Linked DNA regions of Canis lupus familiaris. The protein of the gene in region 2 purifies or fractionates together with the protein of the main gene of each other region. This does not show direct contact. Links are inferred from orthologs where the notes say so. Each region holds a gene or a part of one and is shown on either strand. Other genes may lie near its edges.

Region 1 (7,873 bases), on a different chromosome or scaffold from region 2:
AACAAAAGGATCCAGTCCTAAAGAAAATCTTTAGGTGGCTCAGTCAGTGAAGCATCTGACTCTTAATCTCAGGTCAGGAGTTTGAGTCCCGAGTTGGGCTCCACCCTGGGCATGGATCCTACTTAAAAAAAATCTTTTCCTATTTTGAAATTTTGCCTGGGCCACTTGGGAAGGGGGAGTACTTTGCCACAGAGGCACCTCAATGACTGGACTAGATTAATATCTCATCAGATCCTTCCTCACCTATACCGTGACTGGCAGGATAAATGCCAAAGTTGTTAATAACTGATGATCTCCAAATACTGCTTTAGTTATACTTCCATGTGCCCACATATCCTTTTCAAGTGTTATACCTCTAAGTCTGTTGATTTTGCCTGGTTCTTTGTCCCCTTCGCAGATGGACCAATTCTACTTATCCTTTTAGATTTTATTTATTTTTATTTTTTTATTTTTTAAGATTTTATTTATTTATTCATGAGAGACAAAGAGAGAGAGGCAGAGACACAGGCAGAGGGACAAGCAGGCTCCATGGGGAGAGCCTGATGTGGGACTCCATCCCAGGACCCCAGGATCTTGCCCTGGACCAAAGGCAGGCGCTAAACTGCTGAGCCACCCAGGGATCCCCTTCTTCTAGATTTTAAAGAAGGGCACCTGGGTGGCTCAGTCAGTTAAGTAAGACTCTTGATCTCAGCTCAGGTTTTCATCTCAAGGTCATCAGTTTGAGTCTTGCACTCAGTGTGGAGCCTACTTAAAAAAAAAAAAAAAAAAAAAAAAAAGACAAAAAAATTTAAGTGCCTTCCCAGACAAAATTAGGACATCCTTCTTTGGATGTCCTATAGTTAAAAGTTGAAAAATAAATAATGAGGGGCGCCTGGGTGGCTTAGTTGGTTAATAAGCAGCTGCCTTCAGCTGGGGTCATGATCTCAGGGTCCCAGGATGGAGCCCCCACCTTGAGCTCCGTGCTCAGAGGATAGTGTGCTTCTCCCTCTCCCCCTCTGCTCATGCATGCTCATTGTCTCTCAAATAGCTAAAAATCTTAAAAAAACAACAACAACAAAGAGAAAATAATGAATAAAACTCCCAAACTTGAGATTATACTAACATTCAAATAATATAAGGTAGTTACTATCACTATAGCAAGTCTAAGTTAACTTTTCTTCACATGGTTGGATTTTCCAAAGTTGGTTCAGATGTGGAAAAGCTGGATAGCAACCAAAATGATTGAAGGGGGGTCAGCCCGGGTGGCTCAGGGGTTGAGCATCTGCCTTAGGCCCAGGGAGTGATCCTGGAGACCTGGAATCGAGTCCCACATCGGGCTCCCTGCATGGAACCTGCTTCTCCCTCTGCCTGTGTCTCTGTCTCTCATGAATAAAAAAATAAAATCTTAAAAAAAAAAAAAAAAGATTGAAGGGCTGTGGTTATTAGCACTGGTCAAGTAAAGAATCTGGGTTACTAAACTGGGAGAAAAAAAAAAAAAAAAACAACAAAACACCTGGGGGTGAAAAAACATCTGGGAGGAAGGGACTGGCAAATAATCATCAAACACCATTTACCAGAGAGTAGAAAAGGTAGTAGCTGTTCTTTTAAGCGAAGGACTATAAATGTATTATACACGGCAGGGGAACTATTGGAAATATTTCTTATTACATACAGGCAACACAGTGGAGTTCACTACCAAGGGAGTCTGTGGACCCGATACTAATCACTGCAGAGTTGTCTGAGAATTATACAGAAGGGCAGCCCCGGGGGCTCAGCGGTTTAGCACCAGCCTTCGGCCCAGGGCGTGACCCCGGGGTCGCGGGATCGAGTCCCACGTCGGGCTCCCTGCGTGGAGCCTGCTTCTCCCTCTGCCTGTGTCTCTCATGAATAAAGAAATAAAGTCTTAAAAAAACATCATATATAAGACCCAGGTGAAGGAGCCTAACGCAGTGCCCGTCCACAGGATGCTCACTGCTTCCCTAAGCATCCCTTACAGGGCGTCAGACAGCTCTCGGCCGCCTGGAGAACGCAGTGCGACCCAATGATGCTTCAACTCCTCCGCTTCCAGGAGCCATCTAGCACCACAGCCCCCACACCATCCTCCCTCTTGGGATGTCTCATTATATCAAAACACGATTACTTCATCGGCCCACGAATCGGGTTAGCAGGAGAGGCCGGGGAAGGCCCCACTTCGTGCAGAAGAATGAAGCACCTACGGGCTCGCGAGCACTGGGGGCGGGGGCGGGGGGGGGGCAGGGCTCCTAACGACGACCCGACTTGCCGAACACGCGCTGGGACACGTGTCCTGAGAAGTACCGGTGCGAGCCGAGCGCGAAGGGGCCGGACCAGGAGGCGGCTTCAGCGGCTGCGGGTCACGGAGGCGCTCGGACTGCGGCCGACGGCGGCGGGGCCGGGGGCCGGAGGGCGAGGAGAGGGCAGTTCCGCGCGGGAGGGTGGATCTGAGGCAGCGGCCCTCACGGGGACACCTCACGGGGAAAGGGGCCCAGCAAGGCGACTCCAGACCAAAGCGGAGGACAGTCCCGCAGCCACAGCGCGAGCCTCCTACCTGCGCCTCCCGCCTCCGTCCTCGGCGCCCGGAGATGACCTCACTCGCCGGCGCGACAGTCACATCCGGGGCCGACGGGCGCCGCGGAAGAGCTGCGCATGCGCGCTCGCTGCGTGCCCTCAACCAGTATGGCGGAGCCCCGGGCGCGCCGCGGGCAGGCCGTGCGAGTCGGGCGGTGGCGCCGCCCGCGCTGAGCCGGGGAGGAGGGGCGGGGGACGCCGGTGCGGCCGGTGCGTCCGCCCTCAGGGAGGCGGGGCGCGCGGCGGACGCCCCCGGGCAGGGGCGGGAGCGGCGGAGGGCCGGCGGCCGGTTGAGAAAGGGGCGGCGAGCGAGGCGCGGCGTCCGCAGCCGCGACGACGGGGGGGAGCGGCGGCGGCGGCGGCGGCGGCCCCCGGGCCGGCTGGTGAGGCGATGGCGGCGCCGGCCCCGGGCCCTGGGGCAGCCTCCGGCGGCGCGGTGGGCGGCGCGGGCGCGGGCGCGGGCGGCGGCGGCGGGGGCCCGGGGGGCCGGCTGCCCAGCCGGGTGCTGGAGCTGGTGTTCTCCTACCTGGAGCTGTCGGAGCTGCGGAGCTGCGCGCTGGTGTGCAAGCACTGGTACCGCTGCCTGCACGGCGACGAGAACAGCGAGGTGTGGCGGAGCCTCTGCGCGCGCAGCCTGGCCGAGGAGGCTCTGCGCACGGACATCCTCTGCAACCTGCCCAGCTACAAGGCCAAGGTGAGGGCCCGGCCGCCGGCTGCCCGGGGCGGCGCCTCTCCCGCGAGCCCGGGAGCGCTGCGCTCCCCGTCCGCAGAGAGCCTCTTCTCTGCGAACTCGTGCTCCGTAACCCGCCCCACTTCCGCGCTGCACACTTTTTAAAGGGTCGGACAGTTGGCAGTCCCCGGTCCCCATCCATCACTGCTTCCAGCGTCCAGTCCTCTCCCGCGGAGACGGGCAGGCCCTCCCCGCCACCACCGTCCCCCTCAGTGCTCTTACCCCGTTTCTTGTTAGATCATCTCAGCTCCCTGGACACCGGCTTAGTTGCTAAGATCTTTGCTAACACCTCACCTTTTCCAGCCTCTGATTTGTGACTGTTTCCCCTCTCCTCCCTCCCTCCCTCCCTCCCTCCCTCCTCTTTTCGCCCAAGTTTTCTTTAATTCCCTCCATTACGTTTCAGGCTTATAGGTGAGTGTGGTCCTAGACATTCTGCTAACTTTGAAGATACAGGCTTTTTTTTTTTTTTTTTTTTTTTTTTTAAGATTTTATTTAGTTATTCATGAGACGCAGAGGGAGAAGCAGGCCCCATGCGGGGAAGCCCCGACGTGGGACTCGATCCTGGGACCCCGGGGTCACGCTCTGGGCTGAAGCGAAGGCGGCGCTAAACCACTGAGCCACCCAGGGATCCCAAGACACAGGCTTTATTTTTATTTTACTTTTAAAGATTTTATTATTTATTTATTTATTCATGAGAGACACGGGGCGGGGGGGGGGGGTTCGGGCAGAGATACAGGCAGAGGGAGAAGCAGGCTCCATGCAGGGAGCCCGACGTGGGACTCTATCCCCGGACCCTGGGGTCAAGCCCTGGGCAGAAGGCGGCTCTATACCGCTGAGCCACCCAGGGATCCCAAGACACAGGCTTTATTTTTATTTATTTTTTAAAAGATTTTATTTATTTATTAATGAGAGACACACACACAGAGAGAGAGGCAGAGACACAGGCAGAGGGAGAAGCAGGCCCCATGCCGGGAGCGCTATGCGAGTCTCTATCCCGCGACCCCGGGGTCACGCCCAGGGCTGAAGGCGGCCTAAACCGCTGAGCCACCCAGGGGGCTGCCCCACACAGCCTTTAATAAAACGTCCCCTACCGCCCCACGCGCACCACTGAACCGTCCTAATGCTGCCTTGTCCCCATGTTACTGGCTACTTCCCTGCCAACTTTCTCATAGTTTCACCTCTTGCTGCTGTGCCTCTTCTGTTCCATCTGTCTTCTAATGTGCTCATTCTGGTTTTGCTGCCTTTTTTCCTCCTAGATTCTTGGGCATATTCCTGCCTCCTTCATATACAAATAAAAATCTCAAGTAACAGGTTATGGTAGGGCTGAGAAGATTCTTCAGGCAATGTCCTATAAACAAAGGCCTTGAGGTTGAATTCAGTCGGATGGATAACAGCTCTTCAGTGTAGCAGTCACCCAGAGCATATAGGAGAGAGGATGAAGTCTGCCCTAGGATGTGTAAACATAAGAAATAACATTAATAACTAAAAAGGGTAGATACCCTTTTTGAAACTAGACTGCCAAGCAGGGGGGAGTTTTGTTCAGAACATTGCAGTTTTGTCCTATTTTGCCTAAAAACAGGTAGGCTTCATACGATTTATTTATTTATTTATTTATTTATTTATTTATTTATTTATTTATTTATTTATTTATTTATTTTTAAAAGATTTTATTTATTCATGAGAGACCAGAGAGATAGAGAGAGAGGCAGAGACACAGACCGAGGGAGAAGCAGGCTCTATGCAGGGAGCCCGATGCGGGACTCGATCCTGGGTCTCCAGGGTCACGCCCTGGGCGCTAAACCGCTGAGCCACCTGGGCTGCCCCATTTTATTTAGTTTTTATTTTTTCATAAAGCTTACTGTTTTTACTTATTTTGAATTAAGACCTATCTGTAACTGGTCTGTAATAGATATATTTACATGAGTCAAGATTCATTAAACAGTGTGTTAGGTAATGTGTTCATGTGAGTCAACAAGTAAAAGAAGCAAAATAATATCAGCAAAATGTCTTCCTTTTGCCCTTTTTGCCAGCTACCCAGTTTAGTTTCCTTTCTTGGAGGCAACCTGTGTTACCTGTTTATTTTGTATCCTTCCAGAGAGATATTTTGAGTTTCTTAGGTTTTTAACACTGTATATGTCCTTCTACCACACCTGTGATATGTACTAATCATGTGTTCGTTCAGATGTTGGGGAACTTTTCTTGAATGTCTTGAGGATAAAAAGGTTAATTCAAAAGAAGTTAGCCTATTAAGGAAGTCCTCAGTCAAGTAAAGGAGAAGAAAAATGTATAGTAATAACTAACACATGATACAAATTGCTTCTGTTAGAGATGTATATAAATACAGTATCTACTAGAAGTATATATATACACACACTAGAATTTCAGTGAAAGGAGAGATGTACAAGTTGAATGAATCTTGGAGAAGGTTTGAGGTTAGGATTATATTTGAGCTGAATTTTAGGATAGGGAAGGTTTGAACATTTTACTAAGAACTACTACCCAGAACAAGAGCAAGACAAGAAGAAAGCAAAGGCTCTATACAGCATCTATTTTTATTTAAAAAAAATAGTGAGTCCGAGGCACTGTGCTCATTTCTGCAGATGCAATGGTGAATAAAAACAGACATAAAACTCATGGATGCCTTGTTTGTGGAGCTTATAGTTTAATGGAGGGGGAGTGGATAGATATTAATCAAATAATCAGTTATAAAATTGCATCTGTGACAGGTACTATGAAGGAGAGGTGAGCAATACTCTGAATGTTAGTAATGGAGGATTTGACCTAGGTATGCAGGTCAAGAAAGGCTTTCTCTGAGGAAATACGCGTGATCAGAGACTTGAACAATAAGGCCAGGGGTGAGAAGAGAACCTTCCAGGAGGGAGAATGATGAGAATGAGGGACAGAAAATACATCAGTGTGGCTAGATCATAGAGAGCCAAGGTGAGACAAGTTTGAGAGAAGATGAGAGAGGTGGACTGAGGCCAAACTATAGGGAAGCCATTTTAAATTGTAAGCAAGAGGGGGTTTGGTGATGTGATTTTTTTTTTTTTTTTGCATTTTTAAGAGGTTATTTCTGACTTCGATATAGAGAACAGATTGGAGGAGGACCTTAGAAATACAGGTAGATCATTTAGGAAGTGGGTAGTAGAGGAGATGGGGAGAAATTTAGGAAAGATTTAGGAAGTAAAATCTACAGGACTTGGCAATAGATTGGAAATAGGGGTGAGGGATGGGGAGGTGCTAAGAATGACTTCTAGATATCTAGATTATATAATTATGGGAATCACCTGGGCTAGATTTAGGAGGCATAGCAAAGAGTTCAATTTTGGTAGAGTAGAATTTAGTGTTTTTGAGATATCTGGGGGATTTCAGATAGGCAGTTGTTCGGTTTGGAGCTTAGAGGAAGGGCTAAAGATATAAAAGGATCTAGTGAGATTGAATTGAAGAAGTGGGAAATATGATTATAAAGGTAAGTTGAAACTAGATATATCTTGGTTGTTCTTGGCATATAGCCTTCAGTGTATAGTTTGGGCTTTGTTCTACTGTTGTAAACCATAGAAGTTTGAACAGAGGAGTGATAAATAAGAGCTGTGCTTTAGAAAAACTAGGCCATAAGATGAATTGGACAGAGCAGGGGTTAGTACCTATACCAGAGATACTTAAGACCTGAACAAGGGAACCCTGGGTGGCGCAGCGGTTTAGCGCCTGCCTTTGGCCCAGGGCGCGATCCTGGAGACCCGGGATCAAATCCCACGTCGGGCTCCCGGTGCATGGAGCCTGCTTCTCCCTCTGCCTGTGTCTCTGCCTCTCTCTCTCTCTCTCTGTGTGACTATCATAAATAAATAAAAAAAAAAAAAAAAAAAAGAAAAAAGACCTGAACAAGCATGTAGAGGAGAGAAGAGAAAGGCTAGGAAAGCTATCACAAGGTACAAATCTACATAGGTGGACAGCTGACTGGGGGTGAATGAGATGAGGAAGGAGGAAGAGTCAGATAGGATTTCCAGGGAGCTTATGTAACTAAGAGGAAGATGGAAACATGCGTGGGATAGCATAAAACTGGAAAGTATTTGGAGTTGCCAGTCTATTTAGGATTTGTCTTCTTTTTAAAAGTTCATATTTTACATGTCACCAAGGAACATCAATTATTCCAGTCATATTTAGTATCTAAGTATATATAATATGGTCTCTAATTTTCAGACCTAGATTCTGAAGTAGGTCTTTTTTTTTTTTTTTTAAGATTTTGTTTATTTGTTCGTGAGATACCCAAAGAGAGAGATAGAGAGGCAGAGACACAGGCAGAGGGAGAAGCAGGCTCCATGCAGGGAGCCCGATGTGGGACTTGATCCCAGGACTCTAGGATCACGCCCTGGGCTGAAGGCAGGTGCTAAACCACTGAGCCACCCAGGGATCCCCCTGAAGTAGGTCTTAAAGTTGTTTGTTATAAAGTTTAGGTTGTATATGAGACTATGAGACAGGAGCTATGGATTGTTTTTATTTGCTAATTTGTGATTTATTTATTTTTCCATTTCATCTGAAATTTTCAGATGAATATCTGAAAGATAAAGGATATAAGTAAAA
Region 2 (7,384 bases):
TGCTCCATCTGAGATTCTCAGGGGGCAAGTCTGTCACCTGTTTCTGGAAAAAGAAAACATCTCAAGCAGCAAAGTCTCCCAACTGCTTGCCACCCACTGAGCCACCTGGCACTGTTATTGATTGAGTGGGAAGCAGCAGCTGCACAATGTCACCCATAGGGTGACTTTCCCCATGAGGCTGGACTCCAACAATAGCTGGAACCGTTGTTTTCATACTTTCAATGAAAATGCTCACTTTAAATAACCCTATTATTTCCTTCATCACTTATGGAACATCTACCAAGTTCTCAAAATCAAATTGAAGTCGGATCCTACATGATGCCATGTACACCACGTATCTTGAGTCTTTTAGAAAGGCAGTTGAGGAATGTCCACGTATGCCAACTTGGATGGATCCCCTCCCCTCTTCTCCCCTTCCCACTCCTCTCCCTTCCCCTTCCTCTCCTCATCTCTCCTCCCTTCTCTTTTATCTTTCTCTGCCCTACCACTTCCCCTGGAGTTTTAAGTAGTACTTAGACCCCTGGTCCTCAAGCTGGTTGCATATTGGAATCACCTGGGAAATTTTAAAAACTATGATACCTAGGTCCCATTCTCAGAGATTTGGTTTAACTGCTCTTGGGCAGGAGCTGGACTTCGAGAGTGTTGAAAGATCCTTGGATGATTCTGATGTGCAGCCAAATTTGAGAACCAGTGCCTCGGGTTACCTTCTGAGTAGTGAATACCAGTGTAATATTCCCAATGCAAAAAGCTGTGGAGGAGGAGGTGGATCTACCTCCAACTTCTTATCCCGCCTCTCCCTAACATTCCTGGTTTATAGGGTAAATGCTTGGTGCCAGTTTCCCATCTGAACACTACCAATAGATGCCTGTGCTGTATAATGTTCTGTATCTTCCAAACAGCATGATCCAGTGGAGGCTCTGATATATATATATATATATATATATATATATATATACATATATACACACACACACAATATATACATATATGTATATATATATACATATATATACATATATATATACATATTTTTATAGACTCTGATATTCTATACCTAGCTTCTAACTTCTCTTCACAACTTCCATCCCAGGGCACCTTCAACCAGTTTTTTGTGTCAGCAATATCAGAGTTCCAGCTGCAACTAGCTCCAGTTATAAGCAATGGGAGAAGTAGGGTAAAGGTGATGGAAATACCCAAGGGCATGTGTACACATGCACGGGTGCACACATACATACATACTCGAACATGATCAATGAATCAAACTGAGGAGTGGCATTCTGCTCAGGTAGAAATTGTCCGATAGAGAAAAAGTGGCCACAGTGCTCCATAGTGTCTGTTTTTGTGGTACTTATTCAAAGGAAAAACTTGGGCCCCTTGCCACCACAGCAGGTCTTGCACAATGAACTGTGCTCCTTAGAAGCAACTTGTCTCCCCCCTCCTTTCTCTCCCCATCCAGGATCCTTAATTGGCAAGATCTAAACAGCAATATGCCCGGGCTAGATCCAAGTCTATTAAATGCCATAAATTTCAGGTTTTTTGAAAATAAAAATTGGCACAAGGTTCCAGAAAGCAACTTGGTATTATGTCTTAAGAGTTTGAAATATGTTCAGTTTATATCCTTTCATCTAATTATTTTACTTCTTATCCTAAGGAAACAAGCAGAGATGTGGTAAAAGATTTATATATAAAGATCTTCAACCAAATGTTATGTATACTTGCAAAAAATTACTTCCTCAGAAGTAACTCTACACATTCTGTAATACAAGATTGGTTTAATATATCATATATATCATAGTACAGACAATGAAATAATCAGACTGTTAAAACTTAATTTTTTCAAATAATTTTTAACAATGTGAAAAAATGCTCACAATTTCATGCTAAGTAAAAAATACAGATAAAATAACATTTTTGTGTAGAGAAGAAAACACTGGAGAGGAATACATGATGTTCAGAGTAGTTGTCCAGGTCGTGTGGTTGTGATAGATTTTTTTCTCCTGAATTTCCAGAGTTTGTACTGTGTCTATAACCAGAAAAAAATCATTTTATTCTTAATGTAAAGTCTTCATTTCTCATTATGGCAGCAAGCATAATAAATAAAGAGGCTGATCTCAGAAGTGACCTCATAGTAATCTTCTTCCCATCACTGCCATGCTCACACAGGCATTCCAAGCCCTTGCATGCTCCTCATGACCCTTGAGTCCCCAACAGCTTTGGCATGGGTGACCCTTTCTCAGTTGCGTGGCTGAGAGCTGGGGGTACGCTTGCTGGGCAGTGGGAACTGTGTCACCTGTGAGGGCGTCTACCGTGTAAAGACTATGTGTCATTCCTATTACTTTTAGCATAATGAACTCAACAGGAACCTCAGGAATTGGAGAGCTCTTGCCCAGACATGCAAGAGCACATTGATTCATTCGGTCTAGAGGTATTTATTAAGCATCTTCTGTTGTGCCAGGCAAAGTTCCCACTCATTCCACTAACACTGTTACAGGTTATTACTTGAAAGAGCTGACTGGTAGGGTTGAAAAGGCAAGCGTAGCACCAGAGCTTGGGGTTCCATGTGGAAGATCATTCTACCCGCTAAGTGGCTGCTCAGTAGGGGTTGGAGTCATGGTCTCACCCAAGGACACTCTCTCTCTCTGTTTTTTCAGATGGAGGTGATCGTGGGGGACTTTGGGATTGTGGTGGTGCCCCGGGATGCAGCTGACACAGACCGAATCATGAATCACTCCTCAATACTCCGCAAATACAAAGTGAGTCCTCCACCTCCTTGCTGCTCTAGCTGTATGGTGCGTTCCTTCTCCCAGGGGCCTGCGGGGGCAGGGGGATGGTGTGCTGGTGGAGTGAGGGCACCCGAAGAGTTTCAGTGTGAGAGGCGGGCAATCTACTTTTTCTGCTCTGTCCCCAGAATAACATTATGGTGGTGAAGGATGACATCAACCATCCCATGTCTGTTGTCAGCTCAACCAAGAGCAGGTATGTTTGACAAACTGCCAGAGGAACCTTGGTCAAATGGGCTTACAAGTTTTAATACAACTTTCCTCAGTTCCAGCTGACCCCTACATTTGCTGACACCTGCTGCCTGATATTCAGCCTTCTTTGGGGACTTTATGTATTTGTCCCTAGTCATTTATATGTTTTGGGGTATTTTTAGAGAGAGAGAGTGAGCACATACACGAGCAGTGGGGGAGGTGCAAAGGGAGAGCGCAGAGAGAGAATCTTAAGCAGGTTCCACACACAGCACAAAGCCCAACATGGGGCTTGATCTCACCATCCTGAGATCATGACCTGAGTCCAAACCAAGAGTCAGACCCTCAACCGACTGAGCCCCCCAGGCACTCCATCAGTCATTTACTTTTAAGGGGGGGGGGTGTCATTAGCTAGTTTTAGTTGGTTTGCAGGAGGAAGAGGATATTTTTAATTTGAGACTCTTTAGTTTGAAGTGTTTATAAAATACTGTATTAATAAGAGTACAAGCTAAGCTGCATTAAAAAAAGAGCCCAAATAGTCACAATTTAAATAAGAGAAATGTTTACTTCCCTCTTACTGAAGTCAAAAGAGATTGAATCTCTGACCTCCTCAACATGAAGCCCCTGTCTGTTGGTCCACAGCTCCTGTCATGACTGCTGGAAAGAGCAGGAGCTTGTCTTTAAAAAAGTGACTCAAAGTTGTACACATCGCTTCCCCCTACATCCTACCAGTTCAGCCCCAGTCACAAGGCCATACCTTGCTTTAAGGGAGCCTGGGAAATGGACTTTATGTGCCCAGCTTAAACTCAGGTTCTATTAAATAGAAGAAGGACAGAATGGATGCTAGGGGCCAGGTAACAGTCTCCACCCCAAATGGAACTGTCCAGTAGAATGGCGACATATATGAATATAGAGCTCTGGAACTGGAATAGAACTGACAGCCATGAGCACAGAAGTGTAAGTTACGTTAAGAGTGTGGCTGAGCTCACAGGGAAAGTCAATAAGAAGGGCAGCATTTAAAAGAAGGCTAAGGAGCCTAAGGCTAAGGAGCAGTGCTGGCCCAAGAACCAAGGCAGGAGAGGCACAAAGATGTACATCACTGTCATCTCTGTCACATATTTCAGAGAAATGAGATGGGTCCAGCATTTTTAAAGATCCAGTGGACTTCTTCCCTGGAAGGTGATTATGTATTAAAAGAGTAGCATCAAACTGTGTGGTGAGAGTTGAAACCCAATGACAATGGCCAGTGAGGGGAGAGGAGAGGGATTTGATTCCAAACATGGCTGCACAACAAAATTACCCCACAAACGTACACAAGCACACAAATTCCTGTGTCCTCTTCAATCCTACCAAATTGGCATCTGTGGTGGATGAGCCTAGGAATCTGCTTCCTGGGTGATTCTGATCAAGTTGGGATTGGCATTTGGAAACCATGGGTACAGACCACTTTTTCAAGAAGCTTCCCCATGAGCTGTGCAGGGAGACACTTAGGGACCTCGTGTGCTTGCAAGATCAGGAGAGTGTATGCACTGAAGAGGCAGCGGGCCAGCCTCTGAAGAGGTCTCACAGGGCAGGGCTCACATGCCTTGCAGAATCTACATTTCTGGAAAGAGTATGTGCATTTTTTACAAATAGCTCCTTGGGGCCTGACATTCCCAAGACTATCATAGGAGCAGAGAATGGGAAGCAGCCAGACCGCAGCTAGAGGACAACTATGAAGAAGCCGAAGCTCATCCATCACTGGATCCCTTTCGTACCTGGAGGTACCCTCCTCCACAGCCACCGGGGCTTGTGAGAAGCTCCTCAGAAGAGGTCACCTTCTTCTCTGTCAGGGTTCCAGTAGGAAGGAAGAGAAGTGGTCAATCAGGAGATGCATGTTCCTGAGACCACGATGCAGAGAAACACAAAGGAATGAAATAGGAGTAGCTAACCCATTTAAATACCTACTGTGTGTTTGGGCTCTTCTAAAGGCTCTTTGCATGACTCGTTTCATCCTTTTATGTTTTTAAAAATCCTTTTCATAAGTGAAGGAGATTGGCCCACATATTACCCTCATCTTACGGAGGAGGAAACGAACGGATGGGCTTCGATAACCTGCCAGGGGCGCCTGTGCGAGGAAATGGCAGAGCCAGGATGGAATGGAGTCACCGGGGTCGGGGCGCAGTTCTGGGGCCAGCGAGCTTCTGCCCATTGGGGAACCTATGCAGCCTTCCTGCAGCCTAAGCAGAGGCAGGGGCTGGGGTGGCGGGTAAACCCTCTCCCTGAAAGCGAGGGCCAGGCCCTTGAGCCTGGGTCAGGGAGGGGGTCAGCTGAGCCCCGTCTCTTCCCATCCAGGCTGGCCCTGCAGCACGGGGACGGCCACGTGGTGGACTACCTGTCCCAGCCGGTCATCGACTACATCCTCAAGAGCCAGCTGTACATCAACGCCTCGGGCTAGCAGCCACCCGGCCCTCGGCTCCACTCTCCCCTCGTCCTCCGCCAACACACTGGCCCCTCCAGTCTCTGTCCCCTGGTTCCTCTCCTGCCTCTCTGTGTCTCCACTCCTCGTCTTGACTGTTCTCCCCACCTGCCGACTCAACCCTCCACGGTGTGGGGGACCTGCAGAGAACCACAGCATACCCTACTCAGCTGTCATCCTCGGACAGACTCCCCTCTGGTCTCCGGGTTGGGGGTGGGTGAGGGAATAGGGGTGGGAGTTGGGGGAAGTGCAGTCCCCGGAGACGTGCTGGTGTCTGTCCCCCAGCATGCTCTAGAGAGCGGCTCCAGTGCCCGTCCTCCCAGCATGCTCTGGGGAGGCGGCTCTGGCTCTCGCCTTCCCAGCATGCCCTTTACCATGAAGGGCTATGTTTCTTTCTTTTCTTTTTCTTTTTCTTTTTTTTTTCCTTCTCTTGCGTTTTGGTTTGGTTTTGTTTGGTTGGTGTTGGTGTTGTTCACTCCTCATAGAATTTGGATGAAACCCGTGTCCATGGTTCTTTATGTTTGTAGTCTTGATGCGCTCCTGTGGTGTGAACTTCCCTTTGGATAGGATACCATGGCCAGCCTCAGCGCTCAGCACCTGCGTGACAGCCACACAGTAAGGAAGGCCAGGCCGCCGCCACCTGCCCACTCACACCCCACACACCCCCCCCGCCCCCCACACACACAGCAGGTGCGGGCCAGGCTCAGGACTGAGGCCTTCAGGTTCCAAACCCTGGGAGGCAAGTCTGGGAATAGTAGGGTTTCTCAGAAGAATTTGCGTCCATTTCCTTAGGTTCAGAAGACCATTTTCCCGATGCTCCGGGCCTGTGATCACACAGAGCCAGTCCACCCTCATATCCTGGTGGCATCTGTACGGTTCCTCCTTTGGGCTGTGACTGATGGCAGAGTTTGTTCTCTGCCAGCCCAGCGTGTCCAAGGAACCTTCAGGTCTCTACCTAAGCCCTTGGAGCTCATACCTAGCCACATTCCTGCATCTGAGAAGAATCGCATAGTCAAGGCCAAATCCTAATAATGCAGCCATTTCTGAAATAAAACATGCTAGGGATTCACTCAACCCTAGAGATCTTTGCTAATTGGAATTATCTCTTGCCTGTGTGGCTGGGAGATTTTTCTGTCATGATGTAAGTCAAGGATGACCAAGAGCGGCTTGTTGCTCTAATGGGAATTGATGGTCCTTACCCATTCTTGCTGCGGTGATGCAGGTGGCACCCGAGGTCAGTTTCTTCTGGAAACACAGTACCTCGGTCTTGTTTCTGGAGCTGATCCTATCTCCTCCAGAGCCCAGAAACCACAGTCATCGTCTGAGGAAGTCCGTCTGGCAGGGGAGTGGGTTCAGAGAGCAGAGGTCATGGCAGGCAGGGCATTAAGAGCCACTAAGTTGTTTCACCCTTTTTGTAATTTCTTACCTTCCTCCGCTGCTCCTGGAAATGGTTTTGACAAACTGTTCTAGCTGTTCTGGTCTCAGTCATGCTCCGTTTTGAGAGCCAAAAGGAAATTATTCTCTTATGCTCTGTGTCTCTCATCTAGTCCCTGGCTCTTGGGTTTCCAGTTGTCTTCACAGAATGGGTCCCTGAGCAACAGGATACTTTTATGAAAATCTAGTACCAGTTATGGCCCAGGATGGGGGTGGTGGTGAGATCTGACATCAGGGACATCATTCTTCAGCACATATTTCATGTCTGTGACAGTCTTCCATAGCCTCCAGGAAAGGGAACTGGATTCAATAGAAGAGCATGTCAGAGTAGCAACCAGTAGAGTGTTATTCCTTTTGGATTATGGAAATAATCTCCAGAGGAGGGAATGAAGATCCTATTTTTGGTTCTCAGTGTTTGGTTAAGGATGGTGAAATCATAAATGAAAAAAGAAACAAAGCTTCAGAGATTAGTTGATTCAACATTCTCCTTTAAAAGATAAAGGAGCAGAGGTCCACTGGATTA

What was found.
Region 1: the proteins of NMNAT2 (region 2) and FBXO45 purify together in Homo sapiens (co-immunoprecipitation; 3 studies listed by BioGRID and IntAct, with this or other methods). This does not show direct contact. The link is inferred for Canis lupus familiaris from reciprocal best matches to the Homo sapiens genes NMNAT2 and FBXO45.

Annotation. Positions count from the first base shown.
Region 1 is NC_049254.1:30,323,313-30,331,185, forward strand, and holds the start of FBXO45 (F-box/SPRY domain-containing protein 1), read left to right. Parts: upstream 1-2,956; coding exon 2,957-3,259; exon of another isoform or gene 3,260-3,279; intron 3,280-7,873. Other genes in the region: WDR53 (WD repeat-containing protein 53), read right to left, coding at 2,120-2,124. UniProt on the Homo sapiens protein: Component of E3 ubiquitin ligase complex consisting of FBXO45, MYCBP2 and SKP1. Functions in substrate recognition but also plays an important role in assembly of the complex.
Region 2 is NC_049228.1:16,510,809-16,518,192, reverse strand, and holds part of NMNAT2 (nicotinamide/nicotinic acid mononucleotide adenylyltransferase 2), read left to right. Parts: intron 1-2,651; coding exon 2,652-2,753; intron 2,754-2,908; coding exon 2,909-2,976; intron 2,977-5,303; coding exon 5,304-5,406; 3' UTR 5,407-7,384.